4 linked regions of the Danio rerio genome follow. The protein of the gene in region 1 binds, or shares a complex with, the protein of each later gene. Links are inferred from orthologs where the notes say so. Each region holds a gene or a part of one and is shown in the gene's direction. Other genes may lie near its edges.

What was found.
Region 2: herpud1 (region 1) and ube2j1 share a complex: the UniProt entries of both Homo sapiens proteins name them as parts of the HRD1 complex. The link is inferred for Danio rerio from reciprocal best matches to the Homo sapiens genes HERPUD1 and UBE2J1.
Region 3: herpud1 (region 1) and fam8a1a share a complex: the UniProt entries of both Homo sapiens proteins name them as parts of the HRD1 complex. The link is inferred for Danio rerio from reciprocal best matches to the Homo sapiens genes HERPUD1 and FAM8A1.
Region 4: herpud1 (region 1) and os9 share a complex: the UniProt entries of both Homo sapiens proteins name them as parts of the HRD1 complex. The link is inferred for Danio rerio from reciprocal best matches to the Homo sapiens genes HERPUD1 and OS9.

What each region holds. Positions count from the first base shown.
Region 1 is NC_133193.1:18,990,418-18,994,332, forward strand, and holds the end of herpud1 (homocysteine-responsive endoplasmic reticulum-resident ubiquitin-like domain member 1 protein), read left to right. Parts: intron 1-210; coding exon 211-328; intron 329-2,044; coding exon 2,045-2,209; 3' UTR 2,210-3,077; downstream 3,078-3,915. UniProt on the Homo sapiens protein: Component of the endoplasmic reticulum quality control (ERQC) system also called ER-associated degradation (ERAD) involved in ubiquitin-dependent degradation of misfolded endoplasmic reticulum proteins.
Region 2 is NC_133195.1:1,234,357-1,239,825, reverse strand, and holds the start of ube2j1 (ubiquitin-conjugating enzyme E2 J1), read left to right. Parts: upstream 1-1,960; 5' UTR 1,961-2,141; coding exon 2,142-2,172; intron 2,173-3,518; coding exon 3,519-3,592; intron 3,593-5,078; coding exon 5,079-5,210; intron 5,211-5,469. UniProt on the Homo sapiens protein: Catalyzes the covalent attachment of ubiquitin to other proteins. Functions in the selective degradation of misfolded membrane proteins from the endoplasmic reticulum (ERAD) and is essential for cells to recover from ER stress.
Region 3 is NC_133194.1:34,653,970-34,659,218, forward strand, and holds the start of fam8a1a (protein FAM8A1), read left to right. Parts: upstream 1-1,740; 5' UTR 1,741-1,826; coding exon 1,827-2,166; intron 2,167-3,277; coding exon 3,278-3,398; intron 3,399-3,728; coding exon 3,729-3,852; intron 3,853-4,081; coding exon 4,082-4,221; intron 4,222-5,247; coding exon of another isoform or gene 5,248-5,249. UniProt on the Homo sapiens protein: Plays a role in the assembly of the HRD1 complex, a complex involved in the ubiquitin-proteasome-dependent process of ER-associated degradation (ERAD).
Region 4 is NC_133181.1:41,764,921-41,770,348, reverse strand, and holds the start of os9 (protein OS-9), read left to right. Parts: upstream 1-1,919; 5' UTR 1,920-1,949; coding exon 1,950-2,099; exon of another isoform or gene 2,100-2,472; coding exon 2,473-2,649; exon of another isoform or gene 2,650-2,673; intron 2,674-4,556; coding exon 4,557-4,620; intron 4,621-4,840; coding exon 4,841-4,917; intron 4,918-5,110; coding exon 5,111-5,209; intron 5,210-5,428. UniProt on the Homo sapiens protein: Lectin component of the HRD1 complex, which functions in endoplasmic reticulum (ER) quality control and ER-associated degradation (ERAD).

The sequences.
Region 1 (3,915 bases):
ACCAGTGCGTGGCAGTCCAGAAATCATTAGCTTGATCTGAGGGTGTTCAGTGTGTGATGGCCTTAACATGCAAACTTGACTTCACCCTACAAAATAAACAATTAGCTCGGGCTGACTTTTTTTAAAAACTTGATGGTGTCATTTTAATGGAAATAAAGGCATGAATGTGTTTTTGTCATTTATTCTAATGATTCTCTTTTTCTGTTTCAGACACACAGCAGGCTGGTTTCCTTTCAGACAGAGGCCTCAAGCCAGGCCTCAAAATGAGCCAGCACCCGAGGTCAATCAGAACCAGCAGAACCAAAATGAGGACCAACATCCAGAACCCGTAAGTTTCTCTTTTTACCTTGACGACAGAAAAATGCTCACACTGTGCAAATCAGGGCAGAATGCGCATTTATCTGAGCATTTATATTACAATATTTGTAAAAGATATATTTATATTTAATTATTTTTATTATTATTATTTAATTGTTTTGTTTATTAATTATTATTATTTTTAAATAATTTGTTTTTAAAACTATTTAAAAAAATATTCATTTATATATTTATTTCTTTGCCATTTTTTTACATTATTGTTTTGTTTTTTATTATTTTTTTTATTTATACAATGATGGCCATGTTATTTTACTTTTGATTGTTTGATTTCTGTACTTAAATACTCCCCATAAAACCCATTTAGCAGTTTATTTAGCTTTTAATTTATTATAATTTTTGTAGCTCCACTGCATAAATAAAAAATAAGATCATTCCAGTCGACTTAAATTGATGTAATCTTTCCAAATAGAGGTATTTAAATCACCTAATAAAATGATATATATACTAAATATAAATTGCAGAAAACAAAATATCACAATGTCAGATTTTACCAATATTGTCCATCTTTGGTGTGTGGTATCTATGTGTGTGTATGTATGTATGCATGTATATTGTTCTGTGATTTATATTTTGCAATATGAATATAGTTTCATTAGATAACTTTAGAAAGATTACAGGGATTTAGATTGACAGGAATGATCAAGTTTTTTTCTATGTGGTGGATCTACATAACTTATAATAAATTACAAGCCAAATAAACAGTGATTTTTATAGTTTTTTGGAAAGTGTAACAGTATTCAAGTGAAGAAATTAAACAATCAAATGTAAGAAAACGGTCATCGTTGTATAGATGATAATAAATATATATATTTATATATATTTTTTTTTATAATCCTAAAAGATTGTAGCTTGTTAGACTGCATAAAAATGGTCAACTTCATGTCAAAGTGTTGGATCTCAGTTGTCATACTGAATGACAATAAATATGAGTTTTATTCACCATGTGTGCGTAAAACAAGGTATTCTGGGTACATACATATCAACACAAGAACACAGAATGACATTTAAATAAGTGGATTAAACAAGTGGAAGATAGATAGATAGATAGATAGATAGATAGATAGATAGATAGATAGATAGATAGATAGATAGATAGATAGATAGATAGATAGATAGATAGATAGATAGATAAGGTTTGTGCAATATGTGCATTGTTGACTTTCTTTTTTTTTAACTGTACAAATAAGAAATAAAAATATTTATATGAAAGTATTTACAATTAAGTGGCTTTATAGGTTACAAAAACCATAAACAGTTGCGTCATGTATGTTTGTGAGCATAAGAAAACTGGTAGCAAATGATTTGCAAACTATTTAAGTTGGAGAGGATTTAAGTTGGCCTGAGGAAAAATATTACAAAGGAAAGGAAAAGTAAAGACACAGTTGCACAAGAAAACTAACCTGGAGTTTAGTGTCATCCCTCAGTGATGAATTCATTGACCCACATTCTGAAATGATACCTCACAGTTAACATGAGCGGTGATTTTGCTCTGAGCATGCCTCAATAAGAAAACAAGGAAAAAGTATTTTTATTTGCAGTGTTTTTAAGTTCTTGCACTGACTGCATCATCTTCATCATTCTATTGATTCTTCAACTGACGCTTGTCATAGCAGAAGTCAGTGTAAATGTGTGTGGCTTATCCTTATTCTTACATCCTTTTTTAAAGGTGGCGCCACCTGCTGAAGTGGAGGATGTTGGTGTTGTTGACCCCGCGATGACAGCAGTGCCTGTTCCCCAAGTCAGAGCACCCATCCTATGGACTGCCTGGGTGTTTTTTAAAGCCTTTTTTGCTTCTCTGATACCTGAGCCTCCACAGGGTATTGCAAACTGATCCAGAAGCAGTCAGACAGAAATGACAAAAACTGAACTATCAAGCTCTTAGGACAGGACATTATAAACAAAGGCTACAAATCCTAGAAGTGGTAGCACTTTCCAGTTCTTTTGGCTGTGTGACCTATGGCTGCACATTCTAAACAAACAAGTGCTTGGACATGGAGTTGTAAATATCGCTGGACAGTTTTTGCACAGCACTTTAGATAACCGCAACGGCTGGAATCGATAGTGTCGGTTGCCTGACCTGATCCTCTTATGTAGGCTTCTGTCACCAAGACTTCATTTTTTTGAAGTGCTCCTCGATGAGTGTCCAAGGATTAAACTCATGGGATTATCTTATTAAGGTTCTAGTATGATGGACGACGAAGGCCACATATTGATTTTGTTCTAAGCGCATGAAAAGATGGAAAGTGCTTGGGAAAATGCATTTGTGGTACTTTGAAGCTAATGGCGTTTATGCAAGTAAAGTATGCCTACATGTTCTCTTTTTTAATTGTGCTCGACCTGTGAAATGAGTAATGTTAATATTTATGAGGGACGCGTTCAAGTATTGTGAGTGGAATTTGCAATTCAATGAGGAGAGTTTGTTGGTGACCTCGGGATGAGCAGAAGGTGAATGAACCACACTTTGAATATCGCATCTTCATGACATGATGGAACTGCACTTTGGGACCTGCAAAAGAGGAGAACAAAATATAACTAATAATATATATGAAAAATTCAAATGACTGATTTGTAATCTGATATTTATCAACACTGTAGCATTGCTGTCATTTCAGATTATGTATAATCAAGCTTTGTTATTAACATCATGAAAGTAAGCCTCTTTGTACCAGAAAATGAAAACAATAAACACAATTTCCTCATTTCAGTTTCACTTTGAAGCTCTTTGAATAGTGTCATAGAAATGTAACAGGGTTTTGATTTTATTTGTATCACTTTTTCTTGTGTAGTTTTTTTTTAATTTTAAACATCTATCTGAAAGTTCTGAATCTGAAAGCTGTTTTTTCCCAAGTTTGAGTTCATCATTTAAAAATGTAATGTAAATACTTTGATCTTACTATAGTTTGTATTTCTCCTAGGTCAGATACATGCATTATGCAGCTAGTTCATCCAGTTGGTGGCTTGTGTACATGTATTACCCATATGTGCTGTTGCATGTTTTATAGCCTCTCTGGGGTGATTTTTGAGTTTTAATTTAATTTAACTGTTTCTGTTTCAGCTAGCTGAATGATTTTTGGTGACATTATATTTTGACACTTATTTTAAAACTCAATGGTGCACTATGACAAGGTTTCCTACCCTTTTGTTATGTTCGGGATGAAAATACCACTAAACTAAACTGCTGTAAAAATGCATCCGATAAATCTGTTATTCAGCTTCAATCTTGATCAAAAATACTACATTTCTTAGAAAATTTCAGGATTTTAACTCTTTAGTTACTGATTTGGTGAACAAACACAAAATGATGGATTTTCTTTATAGAAAGTAGTTGTGGACTGGATTTTCTATTACATTTGATCAAACTCTTGAATGTGAAACAACATTCCCTTTGATGCATTGTTTTTGATTCCCATTTGATTTTGATTTTTACCATTGATCATTAGTTTGCAACATTAACCCTTTAGATAGGCCTGTGCAAAAAAAGCCTAGTTTCTGGCTTTTATATGGAATATAACAGCAGATTAAATTGTGTGTCTGTGA
Region 2 (5,469 bases), on another chromosome or scaffold:
ATTGTCCTACCTGATTGGCTCGATTCAAAGTGACAGCGGTTTAGGGGTGTGGTCGATCATGTTCATTGGAACAACCCATTATTTTGGAAACACCCTCAAATTCAGAAACGCCCACATTTGCTGTGTAGTGCGCTGATAGTGCGCAATAAGGGGAGGAGTTAACCGATCCAGACCTGCGTTTTCTTTTTCATCTTTTGTATCTGACGAAGAGTTAGTCTAGAAGGGATACAGCTGCGGATAATCACGTCAGTATAGCATAATTTTTGTGTGACTGTACAATAATTAATATACGGGTTGTGTTTAGGGTTAGGATAGGGGTAGACGTTAACAAAATACAATTTAATGGGTAATATAATAAATAATATGAATAATGCTAGGTATAATTACAGGTTTAACATTACCGTGATTATTAGGTTTAGTGTTGAAGTAGGGGTAGACGTTAATAAAATAAAATTAACGTATAAATTAATGAATAGAACAAATAATTCTCGCTAACTTCCGTCCGTTGCTGTATCCCTTCTAGCAACAACCGGTTGGTTGCCGAATACCGCCATCTACTTGAAGAATCTAATATGTATTTTCAGTATTTTATAATAATTGTCAGAATTAAATTGCGGAGTTAATTGTAGTAAGTCTATATTTAATACAATTATGTTCGCAGATTTTCATGATGGCTGCCCATTATTTTACTAGTCACTCCAAAATTATTATTGTGTTACATTCTTCGTTCCACATAATTTATTTCACATTTATTATTATAACACTTAAACGGGTTGATCTGATTCTGTTGCATAAGCAGGGTTGACTTTAATTTTTCTTAAATCAAGAAACAGATTAAAGTTTGTTCATCCATTCGTGACTTCACAAAGCTTCTCTTGACAATTTCCCGTTTTATTCCTGCATATTTTATTATTTTTGTTTAGATTCTGTTTTTTCCCCCTTTGTGTTCGCAGGCATACATATCCTGTAACTATAACACGAAATAGCTTTAATGTAAAAATGTAATCTTTAATATTTGTCGGCTCTATGCACAGCTAGTGCCAATGATGAACTTCCTGTGAGATCTTTATGTGACTATTTTCAATTTCATAAGGTTCCTTTTACAGCCTTGATGTTGTAATGTAATTAAAATGCATTCAGTTCAATAGACTAAAGCATTAATTTAGTTGTTAAACCGTAAAAAGAGACGAAAGACAGTTTAAACGCAGGCACCATCATTACCCGCAGGCGAGCGCAGAAACTCCATTGAAAATACTGAGGTAAAATTAATTTCCATATTTTAAAGACATGGCAGGGGGAAATATAACTTAATGCAGTGCTTCTTGCTTGGACTGATACCCACTTTATATCCTATCTTAGCCAGGCAGTGAAGATCACTGATTTTTTTTAAAGAAATCAGATCTTATTTTGTATGGGATGACAATTAACCGGAAGCCCTGAGGCTGGCTGACTGAAAATAAAAGTCCGTGTGCATATACCCCACTAATATTTTTGGACTGATATTGAGTCTAAACCACATAGTGGAAGTATACAAAATCTAATAATGAGAAAATTTATAATAATGAACAATACATACAGCATTTATAACCATAGTTCAACATTTACTAACAATCCCATTCTTTTTAAAAAAAAATAACGTTATCCCTTCTACAAAACATTTCCGCCCCTACTCAATATTTCGTTTTAGTTAAAATATGTTTTTTATATATAATTTTTTATTGCTGTTTAGAAATATAGCAACATTTAAACATTTTACACAGGGCATACGTACAGCTAGTTGGAAGTACGTCAACCCGCATCAACATACTGAAATAAAAGTCTCAGTAACGTCCGGTTCACGGAGACTTTTAAAACATAAAATCATGACGTCAAATCTCACTGTTGTTCTTGTCAGGCGCATCAATAAAGCTTTCCGTTGTAAAATACAAGTTTACTTCCTGTTTTCATTTTTTCTTCATGTGACATCTGAGACATTTCATCTCGAAAGTGTGTAAAAACACACACACACACACCGCGCGCGCTGCCACGTCAGGGTTACAGCTCTAGATAAACACCTGGCAGAGCTCACACAACACACACTCGGCGGATAAACACACACTCACAGGAGCGCAGATCAGCCGAGCGCCGGATTATTGAGCATCATGGAGAGCAAATACAACCTGAAGAGTCCAGGTGAGTCAAACCTCTGATCTCTATCTCTCTCTCTCACACACACACACACACACTGCTGTCGCGAGCTATAAACCACACCATAACATCTGCACTCATCCATCCGTCCAGCCGGTCTTTTCACTGTGTCGAGCTAGCTAACGGTAGACTTACGTTACTAGCCGCAGTCACAGGTGTGTGTGCGTGTGTGTGTGTGTGTAATGAATATTAGTTTGTAATAAATGATTGATTGTGTGCGTGTTTGTAATTTATGTGTGTTTTTAATGTGTGTCTTTGTAGTGTGTTTGTGTGTGTGTCTTTTTATTTTGTGTGCTAGTAGTGTGTGTGTGTGTGTGTGTGTGTGTGTGTGTGTGTGTGTTTGTAGTGTATGCTTGTCATTTTGATGCATGTGTCTTTTCCGTGTGTGTGTGTGTTTGTGTCTTTTTCATGTGTGTGAGTGTGTGTGTTTGTAGTGTGTGTGTGTGTGTGTGTGTGTGTGTCTTTGTAATGTGTGTGTATGTAATGCATTTGTATGTGTAGTGTGTGTGTGTGTGTGTTTAAATGAGTGTATGTATTGAGTGAGTGTGTTTGTGTGTGTCTTTATAATGTGTGTCTGAGTGTAATGTGTGTGTGTGTGTGTGTTTAAATGAGTGCTTGTAATGATTGGGTGTGTTTGTAATGGGGTTGTGTTTAATGAATGTGTGTGTGCGTGTGTGTCTTTGTAATGTGTGTCTTTGTAATGTGTGTCTGAGTGTATATAATGTGTGTGTGTGTGTGTGTGTTTAATAAATGTGTGTGTTTGTAGTTAACTATTTATGTGCTGTAGGTAAATGGTGTGTTTCAATTCTGCCACCACCGCAAGTAAATTTCCAACCTGTGTTGAGCATTGCATTCAGATGCACTCATCCACCATTACATGGACTACAAGTTCCAGTCATGCACCACACACACACACCTGCTCAAAGTCTGAAGCTGCTCTTGTACTGATTATACCACACACACGTCTGTCTCGCCTTGACACGTTCACTCTCATGGCTGAGTCTTGTTATGCTGAATTGGGAACATCACGACGTGGTTTCCTTGCCTTCCGTGTCTGACCTTTGCTTTGTTTTGTTTGTTTTACGTTGTTTGCTGCCTGCCTTTTGACCATCCGCCTGTTATATGAGCATGACTCTGGATCTGCCTGTATACATCTGTTTGCCCTTGTGTTGATCGTTGCTTGCCTGACCATTCTCTGTTCAATAAACCCTGCTTTTGTTAAACTAGGCAAATTTTCAAATTTAGTAAACTAATAATACTGTGTGTGTGTGTGTGTGTGTGTGTGTGTGTGTGTGTGTGTGTGTGTGTGTGTGTGTGTGTGTGTGTGTTAGCTGTGAAGAGGCTGATGAAGGAGGCGGCAGAGCTTCGTGACCCCACAGAACATTATCACGCTCAGCCACTGGAGGTGAGACTTTATTATTTATAGGAATTGAATTTCTGGGAGTTTCTTCATGCGTTATCATCTGTTTTAGTGTGTAACTTTATGTGAAACGTGTGTTTTCTGTAGCGCTGTTTGTGTCTTGCTTGTTTGACGTTTTAATAACAGAAGTTACAGAATGTTTAATTCTGTAAATGTTCAGAAGAAACAATGAATATTAGACTGACAATTAGTATTATTCATTGTTGTTCGTATTATAAATGTTAAACGTTTTAAATGCATCTTGTTATTTAAATGGAGTTATTTATATTTAATTTATTAAATTGTTCATAAATTTGAATTGATCCGAATTTGAAGTCAATCAAGTTGATCAATTCTATTGAAATAATTATGATTTATCGTGTAACTATGAACTGTCAAGAACTGTTAAAATGCTAAAACATTGAATATTCGACTATGAAAATTAGTATTATTTTTTGCGATTATTATGTTTGATGTTGAATATTATAAACGTAACTAGTTGTTATGTAAATGTAAACAGTTATTAGTTATATTTAATTGACTGAATTGTTACATCAATTTTTTTATAATTATTATGATCTTTTAAAAGTTTGATGTCAATCAAAAATCTGAAGTTGATAATAAATTATATTTAATTAGGATTCATTTTGTAACTTCTATTATTAAAACGCTAAATCAGTCAACATTAAACTATAAAAATGTGTATTTGTTGTGTTATTAAATGTAAGTTTTTAATGCACAAAATGCAGTTAAAATGCAAAACAACAGTTGTAATTTATATTTTATTCATTAACTTGTTACATAAATACTTTTATCATTTTATATAATTCATTATTCAAATAGACTTTAATTATTTCAAGATATTAAAAGCATTTTATTATTTTTTAAATAGCTTGATTATTCTTCAGACTTTTGAAGTGTACTGAATCTGGCTGAACCAGAAGTTGCTGAGACTTCAGTATGTTGATGTGCTTCCAACTGAAACGGAATATTGAGTAGGGGGTGGGGCTTTCCTTTTGTGCATCATTTCCTTGTAGCAAACTAACAGTAAGAGGGGCGTGGTTAGGAACATTAATATGCAGTTGCTATAGCAACCCTCAGGTTGGCATCAACAGAAAGACAACCACTCCAAACACAGAAGCAGATGCTCAGAGTTTGATTGAAGATTACCAAAACAAACCTTTTTTTTTTTACTCAAACTTTTAACTTACACTGATTAATTATTCAATTTAAAGAGACAATATGAGCTAGCAAGATAAACATTGTACTCCTTTTGATTTCACACAGATTTCAAATAAGGTTTTTGTCATTTTGAGGAACATCCATAAACGATTTGTGAGCATTTATTGCCTATGCATGGAGAGCTTGTTTTATCTGCATGAAGATTCAGATTAGATTATTACTCTGTGTGTGATCATCCATGTTGAAGTCAAGCTTGCATGCAGTAATTGCAGTGTTATTATACTCAGTGTGACTGTCTTGTGTTGATCAGGATAACCTGTTCGAGTGGCACTTCTCCGTTCGAGGACCTCCAGACTCTGATTTCGATGGAGGAGTTTATCACGGCCGGATCGTTCTTCCTCCTGAATACCCCATGAAGCCCCCCAGCATCATACTGCTCACTGTAATTACACCGCCTTTTTCACTGCTCTATCCAACTGAGACAGTATTGCTATAATAGAAAGATAAATTAATTTTAATTATAATTTTTATGTTTTTACACCCTTTTTAATTTTTTCCTTGTTATGTTTTTAGCTTTGCTTTTAAACTGTGTAACTTTGGTCAAATGTGTTGGGTCTCCTTCCACAAGCTTCTCACAATAGTTTGCAGGAGTTTTGGCCCATTCCTCCTGACAGAATTGCTGTAACTGAGTCAGATTTGTC
Region 3 (5,249 bases), on another chromosome or scaffold:
ACTTTCTTTTTTGGGGTTGGGGGGTTGTGTAGAGCTTTATTTTGTTGAAAGAATTTCAATCTACTTAAACGAGTCAACAATAAAACTGTAATCGGGATGATACAATATAGAATCTTGGTCAATAAATCAAAAATATAGAGCAGAGAAAACTACATGTGCTTAGCTCGCCATCTTTATAATGAATCCACACGTTATTAACACCCAAAAACATTCTAAAATTGTTAAATGAATGTTTTCTGGGGTTAATAACGTGTGGATTTTTTATTAAGAAGAACATTTAATTTATGTGCTCATTAATAAAACTTTTCTTCAAAACACGAAAATATAGTAGGCCTATTTGTCAACATTATATTTATGTAAATATAAAAAATCAGATAGATAGATAGATAGATAGATAGATAGATAGATAGATAGATAGATAGATAGATAGATAGATAGATAGATAGATAGAATAAAAATAAAGCAGCCTTAAGTCTCCAGCACTACCATTTTTTCTGTAAAAAAATTATTTTACCATTACGTAGGCTATTATAACACTTATTTTATTCAATGCCTTTATTCATTCATTTTCGGCTTAATTACTTTATTCGTAAGGGGTCGCCTAAGCAAAATGAACCACAAACTTATCCAGCATGCCCTTCTAGCTGAAACCCAGTACTGGGAAACACCCATACACTCTCATTCACACAAATACACACGGCCAATTTAGCTTATTTAATTCACCTGTACCGCATGTCTTTGGATTGTGGGGGATATCGGAGCACCCGGAGAAAACTCACGCAAACACTGGGAGAACATGCAAACTCCACACAGAAATGCCAACTGACCCAGAAGAGGCTCGAACGAGCGACCTTCTTGCTGTGAGGAGAACAGTGCTAACCACTAAGCCACCATTTTACCCATATTTATAAATTATTGTAAAAATCTGATAATATAAATAAATAAAGTAATAAGTCACTAGCAGGTTAATTACTTTTTTCTGTAAGTATAAATATTTTACCATTACATCCCTGCTAAAAAAACGCTTAAACTAGCCTAGGCTGGTTGACTGGTTTTAGCTGATTGACCAGTCTGGTTTTAGAGGGGTTTTGGCCATTTCCAGGCTGGTGTCCTGTCATTTTCAGCCTGGTCTTGGTCAGGCTAGAAAATAGGCTGGTTTAAGCTTTTTCAGCAGGGATATAGTATCTACTTTCAATATTTTACTAGCTACAAATAAAAAAATTATTTAAATCGTTTATAGTTATATGACTTCTGTGTTGAATAACCGATTGTTATTAACATGGTAACACTTTACAATAAAGGTTTCATTTAACATAAGTTTAACTACAGCATTAGTTAACATAAACACAGAGAATTTATTTACGGTTAATTTAACATTAAAGTGTTAGTAAACATTTACTAACCGATAGCTTACTGGAACTGAGCTAACAAACTAACAATAATCAATCCGATATGTTTAATTAACCAAAATGAATAAACACGAACAATGTAGCTCATTTCTCTGCTATGAACCTTTTTGTAAACTTTGCAGGCTGCAACATTATTGAATAACACGGGGGTGCACAAATGGCGGGCATTTTTTATTTGAATCTACGTGACCAGTTTGCACAATCGTTTTGCTACAAAAAACTAATTATGAAAATTTAGTTTCATTCGCTTGTCAAAGATATTAAAGTAAAAACACAAAACAACTCCAAGCACGTTGCACCACGGGTACAATGGTATATTCCAGCTTAAATGAGCAGTTGTCATGGCCGTTCTCTGAGAAGATTAGCCTCTTTAGTGAGTGGAAGGAAGTGAAAATAGGATTTATTTAAGAGGTGAACATGGCAAAGAAGAACAGTGCGAAAGAGGCGGACAAAAACGGCGAAGGAGCCAATGACGATGATAAGATGACAACGAACGAGTACTGCGCGCGGCTGCAGCAGTGGATGTGGCGCTACTACAGCGGATATGTGAGCTGGCAGAGCTGGGTGTTGATGTCCGCGCCGCTCTTTCCTCCGCCTCAGTTCGGTTGCCAGGCACCGGGCAGCTCTGCATCCGTGTATCCCACAACGCCGGCGGACATCGCCGCCTGGTACAACCAAATGAGCAGCCCGGGAGCCATCCGTCCAGCAGACACCGCCACATCCAGCACTGGGGACAGAGGGGCAGCACAGCCCGCAGGTAGAGTAACTGTCAGTAACGCAGTCATCTGAGAAGAAAGACTAGTTAGCTTTAAACAAAAATCCTTAAAACACACGTTAATAAAGAACCTAATAAAATTCATTTACATTTTGTGTAAATTGTAGATTTTCCTTCACAGTCTCTATAGTTGTATTCACTTTGGTATTATGTATTTCCTAATTTAAAGGGATAGTTTACCCCAAAATTATAATGCACTCTGTCTTGTCAATGACTACTGACACCTTGAGTGTCAAAAAAACATGCAGAGGCAAAGTAAAACTAATACACGTGGCTCATGATGAAGATACATTGACAACATTTGAAGTGAAATGATATGCAGGAAACTGAACACACTTTATTTGTATATTACAATGCTGTGTTTTTATAACCATTATTCATTTGGTTTTGTAAATGTAAATTAATAGTAAATGTAATTTTTTGTGGTTCGCTCTGAAGATCACAAGTGATTCTATGCCACTTTCCCGCTCAGAATATGGAGCTATTTGTGTCAGTATTATAGTTCTTTAGTAGTGCTATCCAAGATCTGTGAAGAGATGATGATGCACTTCATTGAACATGTACAACAATGACATCACCTACATACTGTGTAACTGCAACTCAACTATGCTTATATATAATAACTTGAACTGTTAAAAGCTATTGCTTACTAGTTAATTAAAGTATTTACTAGCAATTAATACAGTTATGGTAACTAATAACTCAACTTTTCTGATTTTGATTATATTACAATAATTTGCATCTTTTGAAAAGCTGATTTGAAACAATAACTACTGTGAAAAGCGCTATATAAGTAACTTTAATTAAATTCAGTAGTACCTAGTATATTTAAACATTTTAAACAACAATAAAAAAGTCTAAAATGGGCATTTCCCGGCCAGTGTGTTCAATGTGAAATAATTTGATTCAAGAAACTAAAAAGCTTAAAGACTAAAAAGAACAACATTAATTTACATGACACGTACTACTATATGTTTTAATGCAAGAATCAAGTCAAATAAACTAACTTAAGAATGCACAGTTTTTGTGACAGTGAAAATATTAAACGTGCATCCATAGGTAGTCTTTCATAACATGATCTTTTTCCTTTCAGGTAGAGAATACATTATACCCTCTCCTCTACGCAGATTTCTGGCTGAAACTGTCGATTTCTTCATTCTCTTCTGTGTGAAAGCAACCATAGTGTTGTGGATCATGCATCTCTGTGGAATGAAGTGAGTTGAGAATATATATTTAAAAGAAAATACTTTTATTAAGACAGGATTTCAATTAAAATAAAATGCCCAAAAGACCACAGAAAAATCAGTAAGTGCTTTTATTTTTAAGCAACATCTGTTTTTAACATTGATAATGATTAGAAATGTTTATTGAGCACAGGAAAATATATTAAATAATAAACAGTTCTATTAGATTGTAATTATTTATGCATTATTAGGCCTACACCTTTAACATTATTTTGAGCAAATGACACATGGCATTTTAAATATATTGCATAGAGTATTGTATAATGACAGTTCAAATGTCTTCTTTGATCTTCTGAACAGAGATATTTCCAAATTCATAATGCAGTTTATAGTGGAAGAGATTGATGAGAACACGTCATTGGAGGACCTGCAGAAGATGATGGTCGTGGCTTTAGCATACAGAGTACTGGTGTGTGTTTATGAAGTAAGTGAGTCTCCTTGAGATTCTAGCATGTTTTTTTTTTCATCTTGGAAAAACAAAATTACAAACCTTGTATATATTCACAGTACATTTTTGATCAGCATTTTCATCCTTGTACTCTTGTTGCTTAATAACAGTATTTGGAGGGAAAACTCTGTGGTCTAAAGTGATTTGAATAAATTGTAGACATCTTGCCTGCACTCATACAGTCTGTTTTTGTCTTTTTCTGCAGATCATCTGTATTTGGGGAGCTGGAGGTGCCACTCCAGGAAAGTTTCTTTTGGGTCTTCGAGTCGTCTCATGTGACACGACAGTCCTGGTGCAACCGAATCGGGTTTTGGTGGTACCAGCATCCACTGTCAGCTTATCTGCGTGAGTTATGCATATATATATATATATATATATATCATCTTTTGTAAAACGGTTTGGACAGAACTGTGTGTAGGTATAGTTTGTCCACGGTCATATTAAAGTCATAGAAACACAAGAAGCCTCTTTTTTTTAAATTTCCTGATGTTAAAATAGGACCCAAATCCCAGTGATTTTGAGCCCCACTGCAACTTGACGTAAGAATGCGGTTTTCCCCGCCCACTGAATTGATTGACAGGTGCCATGTTTCTATAATAACATATATACACGTCAACAGAACATTTTTTTAAATCACTTCCAACTCTCTGTGATTTCTTTCACAGTTTTATAAGTTTAAAACGTTTGTAAAACAGAGCATGTTTCTAATAAAGAAAGTTAAATCGCTATCTAATTCTTAACTGCTATAACAACCACTTTGCTGACACCACGCATGGTGTCAGCAAATACAAATATATATGTGTGTGTACTGCAATTGGCATTTGTGTGTGACTCATCATTTTCGAAAGGCTTGAATAAACTCCAACACACATACATGAAAAAAGCTTAGTTGATATTTTTGACTGAGCTGTATTTGAGCTTTATCCATGTCTGTCTTTATTACTGACTGCTGTTTATCTGATGTAACGTGAAGCCGACATGCATGTGGGAGCGTTGGGCTGGGAGAAGCAGCTTATTTTTATTTAAAGCCACAGGCTACAAAAACAGCTACACTGTACTCAGACACCAAAATGGACAAATTCTGGAGGCTATATTAAATAATCTGATGGGTATTTTGACCTGAAACTTTACAGACACATTCTGGAGACACCAAAGGCGTATCTTACATTGTGTAAAAGGGGTAAAATAGGTCCTCTTCAATATTTAGTTTATACAGAGATTTGTGTAGGTCTGTTAGATAACCTGTTGACCTGTAGCCCTCACTGTAGCATTATTTGCCAATGGATACTGATCAAGACTTGGGCCAAACACCCATAGATGCAAACCTATTATAATCTCATTTTCTAACACAGAGGTTTCCAAACTTTTCAGCC
Region 4 (5,428 bases), on another chromosome or scaffold:
TGTAAATGAGTGAGTATGGATGTTTTCCAGTACTGGGTTGCAGTTGGAAGGGCATCCGCTGTGTAAAACATATAAGTTAGCAGTTCATACTCCTATGGCGACCCCTGATGAATAAAGGGACCGAAGCCGAAGGAAAAAGTCATGATCAGGTTTAAAAATGACACTGATTGACACAATTGACACTGTTCTGTGAGGTTTCCTTTGGTTATTCTCAATGCCTCACTTTCATTTAGTTGTTAAATTTTCTTGCCATGATTCTAACGTCTTTAATTCACTGACGATGTATTCACAAAAAAACCTTTGTTTTTTTCAAATAAAGTTTAACATTTTAAAATTTTGCCCCAATTGTGGGCTGTATAGTATATGTAACTTATTTAACTTAGATTTCTTTACATAGCGAAAAAAAATATTATTTTCATAAGTGCTCCCTGCTGTAAAATGTAATGTACTGCCAGCAGTAAAAAAAAGAAAAAAAAACTGCACCTAGACTTTATCTCTGTATGTTTCAATTATTCCGTTTCATTATTCACTTTGAAAAAAACTGAAGAGTTCAGATGCAATATCTTCTTAATACCATCTGAATTTTGTGTAGATTCAGTAATATAACGTTTATGGCAAAGGATAGGCTACATCTTTTTATGGTCTTTAGCCTAAAGTGAAATATCTCAACATAAACAAAGGAGGATGAGAAAAATGTTTTGCATCTGGACAACTTCAACTTCAACTGCTAATGAATAACCTAAACATGCCATCTTTCGGATGAGACGTTAAAACGAGATCCTGACTCTCTGTGGTCATTAAAAATCCCAGGATGTCCTTCAAAAAAGTGTAGGGGTTAAAACCAGGTATCCTGGCCAAAACTCCCCACTGGCTTTAGTCCATCATGGCCTCCTCCCCATCATAATTGGCTTCATCATTCTGTCTCCTTTCCACCAATCAGCTGATGTTTGGTGTGCGGTTTGGACTGGAGCAATATGGCTGCCGTCGCGTCAATGGTATCTGGATGCTGCACACTGGTGGTTGATGAGGAGATTCACCCAAAAATGTGTAAAGCGATTTGAGTGTCCAAAAAAAGCGCTATATAAGCGAGGCAGTGGCGCAGTAGGTAGTGCTGTCGCCTTAAAGCAAGAAGGTCGCTGGGTCGCTGGTTTGAACCTCGGGTCAGTTGGCGTGTCTGTGTGGAGTTTGCACGTTCTCCCTGCCTTCTTGTTGGTTTCCTCCGGGTGCTCTGGTTTCCCCCACAGTCCAAAGACATGTGGTACAGGTGAATTGGGTAGGCTAAATTGTCTGTAGTGTATGAGTGTGTGGGTAAATGTCTGTGTGGATGTTTCCCAGAGATGGGTTGTGGCTGGAAGGGCATCCGCTGCGTAAAAACTTGCTGGATAAGATGGTGGTTCATTTCACTGTGGCGACCCCAGATTAATAAAGGGATAAACCGACAAGAAAATGAATGAATGTTAGTGTAATAACTTTATCATAATTAACTAATTAATCATATTTAAGTCAAGGATGTCATCTTAATATGTGGTTTGCTTATTGCTAAAATCTACATTACATTTTACTTTATCTTTATATTTCTCACTTACAGAGTGTATTTCTCACTTGTTAGATTTTGACAAAAGCACCATCTCAAACTTCAGTGTGTGTTCTCATCATTTTGACAGGCTGCGGTTCTCATGTGTTCCACAGCGGCCCCGTGAGTCTAAAACGTAACACTACATTGCTTATCATGTTCTCAGCGGGTCCAATAGAACTCATTTTCGTGGATGATGGGTGGTAATTACAACACGCTTTCCAATAAGCGCACGTTTTGAACATGACTGACGTTTTGAACATCCAATAAGGTGTCCGCTTTTAACAACGTTGTCCAATCCACGTTCCCTAGAGCGCTCTGCCATGCACCAAATAACAAATCATTTGACAACGCTTGTTTGCGATATGAGAGAACTATGGCTTCCTCCTTGATTAAGTGGTTAAGAGGATTATATGTGTTTTTCTTAACATGTCTCCTGTCTGTCTTTGCCTTTTTGAATCTAGAAGAATTAAACGAAATGAAATATGGCATACAGATTCTCCCCGATCCTGTTATCATGGGACAGGTAGGATTGTGGGATGCAGCTAGCTGGGGATGTTTGTTTGATACAAACAAACAGCTGTTAGCTTTAAGCACAGCATGGCACATTTGCCATTAACAACTACGTGTTTCGGTGTCTAATAGTCGAATATAGGATAGTAAAACAATAGCTAAATTAAAGAATGGTAAATTAGCTGTGACAGGTTATTAGCATAACGTTAGTTGGACTGTGCCTCCACAGGTATGCTACAGATTGTGCCTGATTGTAAATACAATATGACTTTAATATATATGTTGAAAATGAGCATGGTGAAGTTACATTTTTGATTGTGTTGTAAACTGTTGCACCTCTCCCTAGTTCTGCTTTTCTAATTTTGACTTTCTATTCCTGTTTTCAGATGGAAGATGTAATGTTGGTCTCTAACAAATACAAGCAGCTGTATGAGTGTCGTTTACCAGCTCAGGCAGTGCGTTTCCATCAGGACCCGGTGTCAGAGCCTGATGTGCAGGGTTACAGCGGCCCCGGGGTCCCTGAGCTCCTCAAGCCCATGCAGACGGCAGCATGTCTGATTAAGGTAGTTTCTGTCACAGTCACTCGCACACTAAATATACACAAGCTCTGAATATACTCATCCACAGGCACAGATCTAGATAGATATTAGAAGTTGTGTAGTCTGGAGTGGTGGATGAAGCACACAAATTAAAAATAATAATAAAATATGACTCCAATAAAAGTTTGAAAGTGCTTTTGATGTAGTTTAGTCTTAAAATGAACATATTATTACTAAGTACTGGCTGCTGAATGTTTATTTTACAAGAAACATTTTTTTTGATTACTAATATTCTTTTAATGTATATTACGGTGGCAGAGAGAGCTTGATGTGCTGCAGTTTAAGAAAACAAAAGGAATTACAAAAAACCGCCAGTAAATTAAGAAAAATATCTTCATCTATTTGACAGCACACATGGTGCAAATCCCCACAACGCAAACACATTAAAAATGTGCTTCATTTTCACAAAACACAAACGATTTACGAAAACCTGCTGCATTCTCTCTCAACGCAATACATCAGAACACAATGGAAATGTTTCAGGTGGACCCATGAATGTGACAGGCGCTTCTGTGCCATGCCTATTGCTCATTGAAATTGTAGGTGATTGTTGAAAGGTGAGTTCTCTTGGTTTGTTTATTGGAACATCCTGATTCCCTTGTCTTTAGTAGTTATTATCCTAAATAGCCAAAACCTAAATATCCAGGTCTCTCATGATTTAGATCCCCTTGAAACATTTCCGTTGTGTTACGAGGCTATTTGAATGCGTTGTAAGAAAATGCAGCACATTTTATTAATTTGTTTGTGTTGTGAGAATGCAATGTTTTTTTAAAAATGTGTTTCCGTTGTGAGGATTTGCGTCACATGTGCTGTCAAACGGATGAACATCTGTTCCTAATTAATTACCATTTTTTGTAATTGCATGTGCTTTCTTAAAATTGCACCATGTTAAGCTCTCTCGGCCATTATAGTATAATGTTCTATAAAAATTATTTGATAATCATAATGCAAGTGTGCAGCCAATAATAAAATACAGCATATATTCCTGCATATTAAAACAACTATACAAAAATGGTCTAAATTCCCATTTACGCCAACAACGATAACTATTGTATAATCATGAGATATAGTTTTATAAAACTTCTGAAAAAAATTAACATATTGACAGCCAAAGCTCAAGAATTCAAAGCAGAAGCTGACAAAAACTGAAGTGCGTGTTTAAAGTAAACTCCATTAACTAGAATAAATTATATTTTAATTTACAGTTGAGTCAGTCTTAAAGCATCTTCCATTCAGACTTGAGAATTGTCCACTTCAGTTAAAAATAAATGGTTCAGTGCGATTTGCAAATTGAATATAAATAAATATAACACATTTTTTAACAAATATAAGGGTGTAAAAAGTCAAATATTATGCTTTGCAGTTAAGCAAAAGATTCCCATAATAAAATACCCCAATAAAGTGCAGGTACTTAAAGAGTCTCAAAAATAAAAATTTACTCACCCTCGTGTGGTTTCAAACAAAATAAAAACATTGTTAAGAAAGTTTGCAACCAGCAACATCTGACTTTCATGGTAAGAAAACCAAATACTATGGAAATGAATGGTTCCAGCTTTTTTCTAAATATCTTATTTTGTGTTTATCAGAAGAAAGTCAAACATGATTGGAACAAGTGAAGAGTGGGTAATTGATGACAGAATTTTCTGTTTTGTGTAAAAGTTTGTAGTAATAAAGTAAAAACTGTTCTCTCTGATCATATTCTCTCAATCAAAAATGTTGTTTTGAAAAAAAAGCACATTTGGAGTGGCTATGTAGAGTATGTGTAAATTAAGACGTAATAAATGATGTACATTTATAGTCATTTTAGGTCATGTTAAAATGATAAACTACATGTCGCTGTGATCTGAAGCTTGTTCATGTTTTGTTTGCAGACCAAAGACTGGTGGACCTATGAGTTCTGCTACGGCCAGCACATCAGACAATACCACTTAGAAGGCAGGTTAAATCTTTTATCTAATGTGTCTTGGATAAATTGAGTTTTACATGGTCTAAAAAATATATATGCACTGCCTGTATAAACATGTTTTTTATTAGTAGATGGAAAGGAATTTAGAGAATTTAGGACAGAAGCCTTTCAGGAAAATGCACTGCCTATAAATATATACTATTAAATATTTCAAGATGTTTGAAATGTGTTCCCTATATGTGATCGCAGATTCGGAGATCAAGGGAGATGTACTGTTTTTGGGATATTATGATACAGAGTTTGACTGGACGAATGAAACTGCAAAGGTAAGGTCAGGTTTGTTAATCTTGATTTGCTTGTCCTAATAAAATGTCTGTAAATGTTGTCAATTCAAATTAGGAATTCTGATACTAGCAGTAAATATTTTTTATTAACCACTTTTATGTTAACAAGTCTGTAGTTATCTTCTATATATTTTGTAGTTACAAAATTAAAATCTTGTTGATCTTTTTTTTTCAGGCATCTAAGCAGCATAAGCTGAAGAGGTATCACAGTCAGTCATATGTCAATGGCTCAAAATGTGACTTAAACGGCAGTCCCAGAGAGACGGAAGTCAGAGTAAGATACTAAGTGCCATATTCCAGACTATAGAGAAAAATAATGAAGAAAGAGTATTATTGAAGTCAGTCTAATGGCTAACAATAAACAATAAGGACACTAGTTAACTGTTGTGACTAGTCTTCTTAATTCTGCTGCTGTATGCACACACACTGTAGAATACCTTCACTATACAGATGTTGAGCTCATTAGACCTCAAGTAATGCATATATATATATA